Ovis aries: one gene and its partners. The protein of the gene in region 4 interacts with the protein of the main gene of each other region in a biochemical or structural test. Links are inferred from orthologs where the notes say so. Each region holds a gene or a part of one and is shown on either strand. Other genes may lie near its edges.

What was found. The genes of interacting proteins can lie anywhere in the genome.
Region 1: the proteins of HSP90AA1 (region 4) and AHR form a complex in vitro, tested with the Homo sapiens proteins (2 studies listed by BioGRID). The link is inferred for Ovis aries from reciprocal best matches to the Homo sapiens genes HSP90AA1 and AHR.
Region 2: the proteins of HSP90AA1 (region 4) and PPID form a complex in vitro, tested with the Homo sapiens proteins (2 studies listed by BioGRID). The link is inferred for Ovis aries from reciprocal best matches to the Homo sapiens genes HSP90AA1 and PPID.
Region 3: the proteins of HSP90AA1 (region 4) and SGTA form a complex in vitro, tested with the Homo sapiens proteins (2 studies listed by BioGRID, with this or other methods). The link is inferred for Ovis aries from reciprocal best matches to the Homo sapiens genes HSP90AA1 and SGTA.

Annotation. Positions count from the first base shown.
Region 1 is NC_056057.1:26,828,841-26,831,971, forward strand, and holds the end of AHR (aryl hydrocarbon receptor), read left to right. Parts: exon of another isoform or gene 1-542; coding exon 543-677; 3' UTR 678-2,631; downstream 2,632-3,131. UniProt on the Homo sapiens protein: Ligand-activated transcription factor that enables cells to adapt to changing conditions by sensing compounds from the environment, diet, microbiome and cellular metabolism, and which plays important roles in development, immunity and cancer.
Region 2 is NC_056070.1:40,515,355-40,518,854, forward strand, and holds part of PPID (peptidyl-prolyl cis-trans isomerase D), read left to right. Parts: intron 1-1,542; coding exon 1,543-1,649; intron 1,650-3,500. UniProt on the Homo sapiens protein: PPIase that catalyzes the cis-trans isomerization of proline imidic peptide bonds in oligopeptides and may therefore assist protein folding. Proposed to act as a co-chaperone in HSP90 complexes such as in unligated steroid receptors heterocomplexes.
Region 3 is NC_056058.1:18,712,602-18,715,329, forward strand, and holds the end of SGTA (small glutamine-rich tetratricopeptide repeat-containing protein alpha), read left to right. Parts: intron 1-601; coding exon 602-691; intron 692-880; coding exon 881-995; 3' UTR 996-2,228; downstream 2,229-2,728. UniProt on the Homo sapiens protein: Co-chaperone that binds misfolded and hydrophobic patches-containing client proteins in the cytosol. Mediates their targeting to the endoplasmic reticulum but also regulates their sorting to the proteasome when targeting fails.
Region 4 is NC_056071.1:64,574,006-64,578,228, reverse strand, and holds the start of HSP90AA1 (heat shock protein HSP 90-alpha), read left to right. Parts: upstream 1-1,423; 5' UTR 1,424-1,483; intron 1,484-1,939; coding exon 1,940-2,101; intron 2,102-2,191; coding exon 2,192-2,558; intron 2,559-2,861; coding exon 2,862-2,995; intron 2,996-3,286; coding exon 3,287-3,607; intron 3,608-3,775; coding exon 3,776-3,941; intron 3,942-4,115; coding exon 4,116-4,223. UniProt on the Homo sapiens protein: Molecular chaperone that promotes the maturation, structural maintenance and proper regulation of specific target proteins involved for instance in cell cycle control and signal transduction.

The sequences.
Region 1 (3,131 bases), on a different chromosome or scaffold from region 4:
ATGAATAAAATTGGTTATAGAAATCATACCCATGGTATATAGTATATAAGGCATATTAAGAAACCTCTCGCAAATCATAACTTGCTGCTTTTCAGAAAGTTCTGGGTTATCTGTAGTCCAATGTGGTGATCTTGAATGTAGTTAGTTTATTGGTACCTAAAACTTACTGAGATACAATCTGGTCAAAGCAGACTTATGACGGAGAATAGTACCTGTGGTTCGTGGCTAGTACCTTCTGATCCAGTGGCTCCTGCCCAAACCAAAGGCATTTCATTGATCAGATAGTCAATGGATCGCCACATCTAAAGTGAGACAATGATATCACTCACCTATACTATCTAATGGAGAAACTGAAAGATTCTAAGTGCAACTAATACATGTGTTCAATACAACTTCACTGAATGAGTTAAAATAGCAGTAAAGGAGTTTGAAGTTTAACAAGAACAACTTGGAGGATAAAGATTTTAGAACTACATTTCACATACCTGATGGTTTAATATATATGAAGGATCTGTTCTAATAAGTTGTGTTGCTGTTTGCAGTTTCAGAACGGAGCAATTTTAAATGAAACGTATCCAGCTGAATTAAACAGCATGAGTAACACTCAGCCTGCCACCCATCTTCACCCATCAGAAGCCAGAACTTACCCTGATTTGACATCCGGTGGATTCCTGTAATTCCAAGCCCACTCCTCACCTTGGTTTTTGAGTAGTTTGTGAAGCATCACAGAGTAATAAGACTGTCCTTGTTGGATGTCAGCAAGTTCACATGGAGGCATTGATGTACGTGTTATTTTCACTGTTATAAAAACATTAAAATCTGGTTTGTAATAAGAGGAGTTATTCACCTATACTACCATCATTAGAATAGTATGCTGTCACAGAGGAGTGAAATACCATCTACAGTTTACAGTATTCTGAAATAATACCACAGAATATACAGAACCTTTTCAGGGAGATATTTTGACAGTTTTAAATATGAAAATTTTTTCTCTGGTGGAATTACTTCCATCAGATTGAAATAAAATACTTTGTGTTTTGAACTTGTAGATTATTAGTGTACCAAATATGAACTATTTCCTTTTACTCTTAGCTTCTGCTTTTATCTCAGAGGTTAAAACAAATGGTTTGGTGCTTGTATAAAAAGATAATCTCAGTATGCTCCTCCCTCCTTGGTAATGTAAGTGCCTCACACTTTTTTCTACCTATAACACTGTAGGGAGTATATTTTATGTAAAATATATATTTACATAAAATATACTTTTTCTTTTTAAAATTAATAACATTCTGCACACAAATATTATTGGTATTTCTTAAATTCAGTCATTTTTATTAATCTAGGCATGTTTCAACTGCACTACTCACCCACTTTCTTCAGGTAAAGAGCAAATAATGGTTGAAAAGAGAAATATTTATTACTTACTCTAGTTGTTTCTAGATTTTAATGTTGCCGTGTGCCTTACGTTGAAAAATTTTGGAAGTGGAAATATCTTCCTAAATTTTTTTTTAGTTATTGTAAGAGAGCAGCACTAAAATTTCAAGAGTTTTCAGAAGTAAGAGATATATCACCATTTAGCTTTACTAAAATCTCCACCTTAATAGTTGAATGTTGCCCTGTAAAGAATCTGCTGTTAAATGCAACCCTGAGTATTAACTTAAAATGAAGAGAAGCAGCTTTATTTTTAGCTCTTTAATAAGTACAGCACCCATTTCAATATGTATAAATTCTTTAAAAACTGTTTTAGACCTGTAATCCTTTAAAATGTAATATGTTGACTTTATAAATTTCACTTCTTAGTACAGTGGAAACTATTTGTTTTTCTCATATTTGAGGAGTGTTAAGATTAAATATAGCAATGTTTGGTGCAAAGTATTGGTATAAGTGAAAAAATGGTGCATTGTATAGTTTATAATGAACAATGATGTTTGTAAAATGTTTTCAGTCTTTCATTGAAAAATAGTGCATACCTTATATATGCACATAAATAACTTGTTTGGGTCTTAACATATTTTATCACTGTGTCTTTTTAAGTAGCAAATTAATCAGACCACTAATAACTTTACCATCCTTGGGTGACTTTAAAGTGCCACCGTCTGACTTTCTTTTACTTAAATAGGACAGCTGAAAGGCATAGACATGTTTTGCATGTATTATATAAAAACACAATGAAATCCCTAACTGAAATATAGTATTAAAATACTATACTTTTCTTTTTTTAGTAAATCAATGTATATAAAAGTGACTTCAGACACAATAGCTAAGTCAGTTTTATGCATTTTCCAACAGAATTTTGAACCTGGACAATGAATTCAAGTGTTGAAAAAAATAAATTTGTCTAAAACATTTCATAATTTGTTTGTAGCAGGAGGAATCACTAAAGATTTAGACCAGATTAATATTCCACTTTTACATTGAAATCTTTTATGAAAAGTCTTCATCTAAATAATTTTTGTTAGTGTCTTCCACATGTTACTGGATGAACTGTGTAGTGGGGGAAAAACAGGCTTCTAAACTGTATGTGAATATGTTGACGATCAAGTATACACTTAAAAAACTTAAAGCAATATTGTATATTTTTATCTATATAAAGTAACTAAAATTTACCTAATAATAAAATCACATTAAACCCAATACACCTTTGTCTGTATTGTTAAGTGCCAAAGGAAGAATCTCTGTGTAATGCTATTTTGAGGGATTTATTTTTTGATGACATGCACTTCTAAGGACGTGGCTGTTCCTACTCTGATCTTTTCCCTATGCCAGGTTGTTCCTCCAGTACCTGAAGACTTACCAGTGTTCCGGTGTATTACACATAGCTTTTAATCATTACTCTGCACAATCTAGTGTTTTTCAGTGTTACTAAATTTTAGGTAAATGTTTTCATGGGTGTTTTCTCCTTCGAGATGTTACTGCTTACATATGCCATGCATACATTTTTGTTTAAAATATGATTTATAATATCCTTATCAAAAAATTGTATACGATAATTTATGGTAATAAAATAATCACCAAGTATGAATAGTATGTTTTAATGCAAATTATTTTTGGTCCACATAAAGGAAATGAGCACTTATAGTATAGTATTGTAATTATGTCAGATGAAGGCAACCTATAATATTTAAAGATAGGTT
Region 2 (3,500 bases), on a different chromosome or scaffold from region 4:
CTGTCCATGGAATATTCCAAGCAAGAATACTGGAGTGGGTTGCCATTTCCTTCTGCAGGGGATCTTTCCAACCCAGGAATTGAACCTCCATCTCCTGTGTTTCCTCCTTGGCAGGTGGATTCTTTACCACTAGCGCCACTTGGGAAGTCCCAAATATAAGCATACCAGGGAGATACTGCAGGTTTGGTTCCAGACTACTGCAATAAAGTGAATGTTGTAAGAGAGCAAGTTACAAAGTTCGGGTTTCCCAGTGCATAGGAAAGTTATATGTGCAGGATACTATAGTCTGTTAAAGTGCACAGTAGCATTGTATCTGGAGAAAAATACATATCTTAATCTAATACTTTATTGCTAAAAAAAATGCCAGAACAATTATAGTAGTAACATCAAAAATCACTGGTCACAGATCACTGTAGCAAATAATAATGAAAAAGTTAGAAATACTGTAAGAATTACCAAAATGTGACAGAGACATGAAGTGAGCACATGCTGTTGGAAAAATGGCACTGATGGACTTGCTGATGCAGAATTGCTACAGACCTTCAAGTTAAAAAACAAAACCCACAGTATCTGCAAAGCACAGTAAATCAAGGAGTTGCCTGTATTCTAAAAAAGTGTCTGTGGACAAGAGTTCACATTGCAAACCTGAGACTGCTGTCATAAATCTACTTGCAAGGGTGGAATTGCCTGAAGTCAGAGCACTTTGCCATTCTCTGAATCGTAAGGTGGCTAGCTCTGCTGAGACTGTTCAGTTTGATTTATGCTGAACAGTTGCTTTCCTTTTGAGGATGTGGTGGAATTTTGGTATCTGCTAGGCAGAGAGTGCCTTCATGATGAGCCCCTGTAGAAACCTTGGGTGCTGAGTTCCTCAAGGGCTTTCCTGGGGAGCAACATTGTACACGTGTTGCTGCATTTTCTTGGCTGGGGGAAGAAGGCACCCTGTGACCTTTCCCATCAGGAAACACATGGGTTCTTCCAGGCTCTGCCGTATCTTTTCCCTTTATCGTCCATCTGTGTCTCCTGACTACATGAGTGTCATATAAGCAGATACAGAGTCCTGGGGAATCTGAATGTGGTGGCAGTGTTAAGTAATAACGTTTGCAGAAGTAATTCCAATACAGTGTAACAGGCCTCTTGGGAATAATTGGTTTATTCAGTAGGCATTTTTGAGTAACCATTATGTGCCCAGCCATGCACATGGTTACCCGGAAGAAAAACGGTGTTGCTGTTCTTAACTGTTTGCTAGAAGAGACAGATTGTTATGATCCATATTATAAAAGAAAGGTAGAGTCAAGGTACTATGGGAGAAAAATTAGTAGATCCAGTCTTGAGGTTTGACAGTGTTGTAGGGGAGGTGCCATACGAACTAATTCTCTGAGTGTTAGTGGGGATTTGGATTGGGAAAAGGCTTTTGAAGAGCCTGGAGTTGTGCGTGTAGGTGGAGAGAGCAGGAGAGAAGCTGTCTTTATTGTCACACATTCGTTAACATTGCTGTAGTCATCTGTACTGTAGTTTCTAATGCTGGTTTTCCTTTTTTTTCAGTTATTAAGAAATTTATGATTCAGGGTGGAGACTTCTCAAATCAGAATGGGACAGGTGGAGAAAGCATTTATGGTGAAAAATTTGAAGATGAAAATTTCCATTATAAGGTAAAGTAGACAAAAATGTGTGTTGCTAACAATAAAGGTTGTCATGTGTCTGGGATTCTTGTCAAGTTAGGATAAATGCCTCAGATGTGCTTAGATCTCCTTTATTTGTGAAAGGTATCATATTTATAAATATACATCTTTAATATGAAAAAAAACCTCATCTGGCAATGATTTTATTGGCAAAAATACAACAACTATTTAGTGTGATTCAGGTTTATACACTGCAGTAAAGCCAGTGAGTTCATGGGTGGCCAGCATATGGCAAAATTGTTTCCAGGAAAAATGTTCCTATTAGAGGGATGGTAAGTTGTGCATCTTTATGCCTAAATTTGAAGAGCAGCAAAACCATGGCTAATGTCCGGGGTGTCAGGGCATTTGCAGACTAGCGGATCTGGTTAATGTCCAGGCTCCTAAGGGACCTTAGTGACGCCTATGCCTGCTTAATTTCAGTGACCCTGGGGTCACGGTCAGGGTGTGGTATCATTCAGTCATGACAGTGGACATCTAAGAGCAAAAGTAAACATGGGTTTTTGGAAATGGGAACAGGAGTAAGGTGTTTAGGATCATTTGAGAATAAATGTCATCAGTGTTTTAAGCAGTTTATTTCCTGTAGCGAATACAGTCACTGGCACCAAAGAGTTTATAAAAAGGAAAGACCTTCATGATGAGGAATAAAATCTTGCCAAAAAGGCAAGATTAAGACATACAGGGCAACTGTATAATGTAACTGAATAATGTAATAAAATGCAAGTAAATGCCTAGTTGACCAAGACCTGTGTATACTACAGGAGAAAGGTATGATTCCTATGGTCTGGATTACTAGGGAAGACATCAAGAGGGAAGGGGTGCATGAACTAGGCAGACTGGACCTCTCCAGGTGGCTGAGATTTGGTTAGAAGGAACTAAAATACAGATGCCTTTGAGGGAGGGATATGAGTGAGGAAGGAAGAAGGCACGAGGAGGCTGAGGAAATAAAGTTGTTAATATTTAATATTGTGGGGAAAGCACCAGACTTTTGGAAGGGAGAAAGAAAGTACCAGAAGGATGAAAACTCAGCTTATGTGATGGAAAAGTTGATCAAAAGAAAGGGGGTAGACTTCCCTCGTGGTGTAGTGGATAAGAATCCGCCTGCCAATGCAGGAGACACAGGTTTGATCCCTGACGCGGGAAGACCCCACATGCCACAGAGCGAATAAGCCCACACGCCCCAGCTCCTGAGCCCCTGTGCTGCAGCGAGTGAAGCCGCCACCAGGAGGTGCCTGCGCACCTCAATAGAACGGCCCACTCGCCACAAGAGAAGACCTGCACAAAAGCAACGAAGACCCAGTGCAACCAAAATAAAAATAAGATTTTAGAAAAAGAGGGGCTGTTGCATGGACACATGATTCTTCTGCACACTTGGTGGTCTTGAGAGCTGGATTAGATTTGGGTTTGGGGTAAAAGGCATTTCAGGTGGGAGGGCTAACATGAGTGTTACATGGGTGGAGAGTAGGAAAGGGCCTAACTTTGCTGACGTGTGAAGAGATAATCATCATGTAGGCCCGAAAGTGGGAACACTGTTGAGTGCCTTTCAGAAAAAATGTGCCTCAGTCATAAGAAAGGGTGAAGCAGAATTACTAGACTTCCTCCTGTGGCATCTTCATCTTGATGAAGTCCAAGCATGCTCTCAGTGTGATCGATTTAGGAGCACCACCCCTGCCCCCACTGTTTCATCTTAATTTAGTTTCATAAGCTCTCCTTAAAGTTTAAAAAGTGGTTAAGTACTCTCATGTTTTGTGAATTAAAGTCACACTTGATAATGAAGTAAAATCACTCTACATTATGTGCTCTTAAGTGGTATTCCAGCGGCCC
Region 3 (2,728 bases), on a different chromosome or scaffold from region 4:
TTAGTTCCCCAGCAGGGATTGAACCTACAAATCCTGGATTGCAAGGCAAATTCTTAACTACTGGACCACTAGGGAAGTCCTCTCTTCTTTGGACCTTGTGGTTAAAAATTATTGTGGTAAAAGATGTATACAGTTTCCTGTTTTAGCCATTTTAAGGTCCGTAGTCCCATGGCATTTAGTACGCTTATAATGTCCTGTAGTTGGTCACTACAATCTAATTCCAGAACGTCCATCACCCCAAAATGAAGCCCCACCCCCAATATCGTTGTCTCCCAGCTCCTGACTACCAGTCACCCGTCTGTGGATCGGCCTGACGGTGTTTCCACATCAGTGGACTCAGAAATTCTACGGTCTTATGTGTCACTGGCATGCCCCGGTGTCCCTGGGGGGCAGCACTGCCCCACTGAGAATCACTGTTTTTAAGTCAAAAATGGATGTTCCTGGGAAAGTTGGTGAAATTGACAGGTTACAGTCAGAAGGGTGGGCTCAGGGGGACTTGGGTCCCAGGTAATGTCTCTTGCCAGCAGGGGGGAAGGGTCAAGCAGGGCCGCAGCGGGAAAAGGGGGCTGAGCCGTCTTCAAGTCCAGGACTCTCTTTGCAGCATGTCCGGCATGATTTCAGGCGGCCACAACCCCCTGGGGACTCCCGGCACCAGCCCCTCGCAGAATGACCTGGCCAGTCTCATCCAGGCGTGAGTAGACCTGCCAGGTGGGGCTCCTGGGTGGGGCAGGGTCCAAGGTCCCCGGGTGCTCTGTGGGGCCTCATCCTCCAGGGAGTGGTCCCTCTGCCCTCCAGGGGCACGTCAGGTAGGGAGAGGCGGCTGGGTGGGTGCCTTGGACCTGGCTGAGCCCAGGCACGCCTCCCCTGCCCCCACCTGCAGGGGCCAGCAGTTCGCTCAGCAGATGCAGCAACAGAACCCAGAGTTGATAGAGCAGCTCCGCAGTCAGATCAGGAGTCGGACTCCCAGTGCCAGCAATGATGACCAACAGGAGTGACCGCCCCGTGAGTCCCCGGAGCTGGGGGGCACCTTGGGCCCTCAGGTCTCTTGCCGGGTGGGCCCACTCAGGTGTTTCTCCCTCCAGCCTGCCCAGCGCCATCGGGTCCTTCCCGGCCTACAGGAAGCCTTCTTGACCTTTTCCGTCTCCTCCCATTGGATCGCCCACGAGAGAAAAAGAACTTGGACCTGCATGTTAAGCCGGATTTTTATGATGTTTACTTTTACTTCCTCCCCTCCCTCCCTTTTTATACTCTCTCACGGCCCCCAGATCCTTCTTGAAACAGAGCCAGCAAGCTGTGAGTGCAGACCAGCACCCGTCTCCCTCCTGGCCCCCTGCCCTGAAGACCTGGTCACTAAAGTATTTTCTAGAACATTCTGAGGTGGGGGTGGTCTTCTCACCGCTCTCCGAGAAGTGGCCTGTGGGATGCCGTGGCCCCGAAGCCCCTTCTTCAGCCCCCGCCTGCCTTCCCAGTCTGTCTGCAGGGCCTCCCAGCCCCCGAGAAGCCGCTTTCTGAGTTGACCGTGGCCTCCCTGGCCACCCCTGCTCAAGCGAGCTCACTGCCAGCCAGCCCGGCCCAGCAGACCTGGGTTCTCAGACAAGGAACTCCAGTTGCAAGTGCCCCAGAGGCAGTTTCTGCGCCCAGCGGGGGCCGAAGCAGACGTCTTGGGTGCACACAACCCATTTCTGGGACTTAAATTCCAGTCCAGTGCTCGGATGGACTCGGGTCTGATCGCCATGCTTTTCCCAGTGCTTACAATTGACAGACTGTGAGGGGCCTTCTCATGACCTTTGAGCTGGCTCCTGAGCCTGTCGCAGCCTGGCTGTGTATCCCAGCCACTGCCTTCTGTCCACAGGTGGTGGTCCTGCTGGCCTGGCTTGCCTGCATCCTCAGCGGGCTCTCCTCCTGCTTGGGGGTCAGGGCTATGGGGGTCCCTGATGACCACCTGCCTGGGCCTGAGATCACCGGGCAGCCACTGTGGATGTCCCTGCAGCCCAGGGCAGGGTGGAGAGGGTCCCTGGCACCGCAGCTCGGGCCACAGTGTTGGTGATGAGATCGCTGGAGGCTCCCTGATGGTGTCGGGTCCTGTGGGAGGTGACACCGTACCAGTACCGTGTGTGTAGGTAACTCGTAGAGACAGCCCCACACACATCCCACAAGGCGTCCTAACTCATGAGTGCTACCATGATGACGAGATAACGTGTGGGGAATAAATAGACATCGTGATCTCTGCTGGCCTCCATGTGGACCTCTCAGTGCCACTCTGCCCCCACCCCCTCACCTCCCAGAGCTTCCTGGAACCCCCAGTGTGGACCCTGCATGGGTCACCCTGAACCATTGACCCAGGTTGTGTGTGCCTTCCCTGTCACCTTGAAGACAATCTCACAAATTTGGTGGCCTTTAACTACACACAGTGTCTCCATCCTGGAGGCCAGAAGTCAGACTGGGGACCCCCTTGGGCTAAATCCAGGTGTGGATGGGTCTGGCTCACTCCCTGTCCAGAGGCTGACGTGTGGTGTAGGTGCAGGGGGTGTCAGGCCTGCACTCGACTCCCCCGGGTCGCTGGGCTGTGGGAATGCTTTGGGGCCATACCACTTTCTTTGGCCGTGACCTCTGTGGCTTCCAGTGGGTGTACTCAGCCTCTGGTGACCTTGAGCTGCTCTGTCCTGCTGAGGACCTCCCCATGTTCCCTGCCACTTGGATGGTGGCCAGTAGGTCACAAAGGAAGTTC
Region 4 (4,223 bases):
AAAATAAGTAAAAAGAGATGGGCCTTTTAACAAAATCATGATGCGTGCGTGGGCTGGGTCAGCATGTATGATCACCAAGTCCCAGAATTCCAGACTAGGGCCTGCAGTGCCTTGAAAGATGCAGTTTTAAAACAAACCCAAAGTAGGTAACAGGGAAGCCACCGGCGCAGACGGTAAAGAATCCTCTTGCAATGCAGGAGGCCTGGGTTCGAGAAGATCCCCTGGAGGAGGGCATGGCAACCTACTCCAGTATTCGTCCCTGGAGAATCCCCCTGGACAGAGGAGCCTGGCGGGCTACCGTCGCAGAGTTGGACACGACTGAGCGACTAAGCACAGCACAAAGTAGGTACAAAGGCTCAAAGAACTAAGCAAAGGCCGGGAGAATTCGGGACTGTGTCCCCTTTTAACATTCCCCGCGCCACCGCTCCCCCTGCCTTGGGCGCAATCGGGCCTAAGGACAGGACGAGTCCCCATACTGGAGTGGCGGGGGAATGGTGGTTTGTTCCAGGGCCCACCTCTGGTTCAGAACCAGCCGAACAGACCCACGAGGCTCTGGAGTTCCCCTCTGCTCCCCCTGCACACACGCTGGTCACCCCTCGCTCACAGACCTCTGCGCCCCACAACCAGGCTGGGGCTCTGAGCCTCCGCGTTAACGAGGCTCTGGCAGGCACTTGTTGCCCGAATTCCTAGGGCCCTGAACCTATAACCGCTGCCCCTGGCAGAGATGCGCCCTAGACCCTCTAATCGCTGCCCGGACCCCCCCAAACCCCTAACCATGGACCTGAGCCTGCGATCAATGCCCCAAGCATATACCTGTGACACGGGACTGGACCCCTCACCCCGGCTTTGATCCCCTAAGCGCGGCCTCAAGGCTCGAAACCTAGCCCCAGGCCCATAGTCGGGGGGTCCCGATGCTGGGGGGATCCGGAGCGCACACTATCTGGGGACACGCTTTAACCACCGAGAGTTTACTTTTCTGGACTTCCCAGAGCTGCTGGCACGGGCGATCAGCCCCCGGGGCCTGGACAGAGGTTTGGGTCGGGGGAGCGTTAGGCCGACGCGCGCCAAGCGGGGTTGGCGGGCCAGCGGTGTGAGGCCGGCGGGGCGCAGAACGCCGCGCGCCGGGGCAGGTAGGGCTGGGAACGGCGGCACCGGAAGGCGCGAGACCCGCCGGAACGCTCCGGATAGCGCAGGCGCACTGCGGCGGGCGCGGGCACGCTTGGCACGCAGGCGCCCTGAGGCGTGGGAGCGCGCGGCGCGGCCCCGAGGAGGGGGCGGGCGGCCTCCAGTGCGCAGGCGCAGGCGCGCGGCCGCTCCGGCGGTTGGGGAGGGTTCTTCCGGAAGGTTCGGGAGGCTTCTGGAAAAGGCGCCGCGCGCTGGGCGGGCCCGCCTCTATATAAGGGCGGCGCGGGGGCGGCGCGCCAGTTGCCTCTGCGTCCCGGTGCTGCGTCGCTGCGGAGCCCGTGCTAGTCCTTCAGCCAAGGTGAGGGGAGGCGGTTGTAGGGGGACGCGGGGATCCACGGGCGGGTGGGCGGCGGCGAGGGCAGCCCCCGGAGCCCCCTGAGGCCGGCGGGCCCGGGGCGGCCGTGATTAACCCGGTAGGCCTCGGGCCTGCGGCGGTCTCCCGTCCCCTCCCCCCCGCCCTCCCCCCGCCGTCGGGAGCGAGTGGGCCCCGGGGCTCCGGGGTCGTGCGGGATGGTGAGGGCCGGGGTCTGCGGCCCCGGAGGGGGGTCCCCGGGCCGCGGGTGGGGGCGCCCGGGCCGAGCGGCGGCCGTGCGGCCGGCGTGGGCGGCGGCGGCAGCGGCGGCGCCCGGCCCCCGGAATGAGGTCATCCTTTGTCAGCCGGCGCCTCCCGCGCGCCCCGGTCTCGGGAGCGGGAGCGAGACGCGGCGGGGAGGGGTCCGGCCGGTGGCCTCACGGGCTCCGCGTTCCCCGGCAGATGCCCGAGGAGACCCAGGCCCAGGACCAGCCGATGGAGGAGGAGGAGGTGGAGACGTTCGCCTTCCAGGCGGAAATTGCCCAGTTGATGTCATTGATCATCAACACTTTCTACTCGAATAAAGAGATTTTCCTGAGGGAGCTGATTTCAAACTCGTCAGACGTAAGTCTCATTGCGGAGTGGGGTGTTTGTGTGAAAGGGCACTGTTTTAGGGGGGAAGTTGCGTGTCATCACGTGTCTTTTTTTAAATAGGCCCTGGACAAGATCAGGTATGAGAGCTTGACCGATCCCAGTAAATTAGACTCGGGGAAAGAGCTGCACATTAATCTCATACCGAACAAGCAAGATCGAACCCTCACCATCGTGGACACCGGCATTGGGATGACCAAGGCCGATTTGATTAATAATCTGGGCACCATCGCCAAGTCTGGGACCAAAGCGTTCATGGAGGCTTTGCAGGCTGGCGCTGATATCTCCATGATTGGCCAGTTTGGTGTCGGGTTTTATTCAGCCTATTTGGTGGCTGAGAAAGTGACCGTCATCACCAAACATAACGATGATGAGCAGTATGCCTGGGAGTCTTCTGCAGGAGGGTCCTTCACAGTGAGGACTGACACAGGTAGGCACCCGAGAACAGGGTGGGGTGCTTTAGGCACTGGAGCCCCAAAGAAGGGGTGAAGTTTGTGTGTAGCGTTTAAAAACCTGTTTGCCTGGAGGGTGATAGCATGCACATGCACTTGTGGTTGGTTATCTTGGGCAAGGCCCTTAACTGCCCTGAGACTCTGCCCAGTTGTAGTAACCACAAGCTTCTGCTTCATAGACTTTTCGGATAACTGTCCTAGAGAGCGAAATAGTATTTTTTTTTGCCTTGATCAGGCCATTGTGATTGAAATTGGCCTCAATCTCTGGACTTCCTTTTCAGGAGAACCGATGGGGCGTGGAACAAAGGTTATTCTGCATCTGAAAGAAGACCAGACTGAGTACCTGGAGGAGCGGAGAATAAAGGAGATTGTGAAGAAGCATTCTCAGTTCATTGGCTATCCCATCACTCTTTTTGTGAGTTTCCATGTATCCTGTATATGTAGGTTACTAAAGTGATTGAACTGAAATCCTGTTAGTCAGTCCTTCGTGCTTTTTATAAGAGATCCAAACTTGCACTAATTTCCTGGGCTGGTGGGTCGACTCCTGTCAAGGTTCCCAGGGCTGTTAATAGATCCTTCAGAAATGGGTGAGTAGCTTTCTGGCTACTAGTGTTTCTCAGGTGGTATTGGTGTAAGTGCTGCAGTCTCCTTTAGCCTTTTTCCCCCAGTTTTGTGGAGAGGTGACGTGATTTGTCCTCCTTTGAAGGTGGAAAAGGAACGTGATAAAGAAGTTAGCGATGATGAAGCAGAAGAGAAGGAAGACAAAGAGGAAGAGAAGGAGAAAGAAGAAAAGGAGTCTGATGACAAGCCCGAGATAGAAGACGTTGGCTCAGATGAAGAGGAGGAAGAGAAGAAGGATGGGGACAAGAAGAAGAAGAAGAAGATCAAGGAGAAGTACATCGATCAAGAAGAGCTGAACAAGACAAAGCCTATCTGGACCAGAAACCCTGATGACATCACTAACGAGGAGTATGGAGAGTTCTACAAGAGCCTGACCAACGACTGGGAGGACCACTTGGCGGTCAAGGTGAGTGACTGCCAAGTGCTTCCTTCTCTGCAGATGTTGGAGGCTGCATTCTGTTCCTCGATGCCCCATGCTTTGCCCAGAGTCATTGTTAGGTAACTCTGGTATACGTGACATTTTTTATTGCTTCAAGTTATTTGCCCTGTGTTAATCTTGATTGTTTTGTTATAGCATTTTTCAGTTGAAGGACAGTTGGAATTCAGAGCCCTTCTTTTTGTCCCAAGACGAGCTCCTTTTGACCTGTTTGAAAACAGAAAGAAGAAGAACAACATTAAGCTGTATGTTCGCAGAGTTTTCATCATGGATAACTGTGAGGAGCTAATCCCTGAATACCTGAGTAAGTATAGTCTGATAGAAGAAACTGTCACTGTTACTAGTCTAAGAGATTAATCCTGTCAGCTCCTGGTTTTTAAACTAAACATGGGGAAAATCATTCATCTTTGGTTTTTTGGGTTTACGGATTTGTCAGTTTTTGTCTTTGGAGTGACTGGCTGCATTTGGTCTGTTTCAGATTTCATTAGAGGTGTGGTGGATTCTGAGGATCTTCCTCTGAACATTTCCCGTGAGATGTTGCAACAGAGCAAAATTTTGAAAGTTATCAGGAAGAATTTGGTCAAAA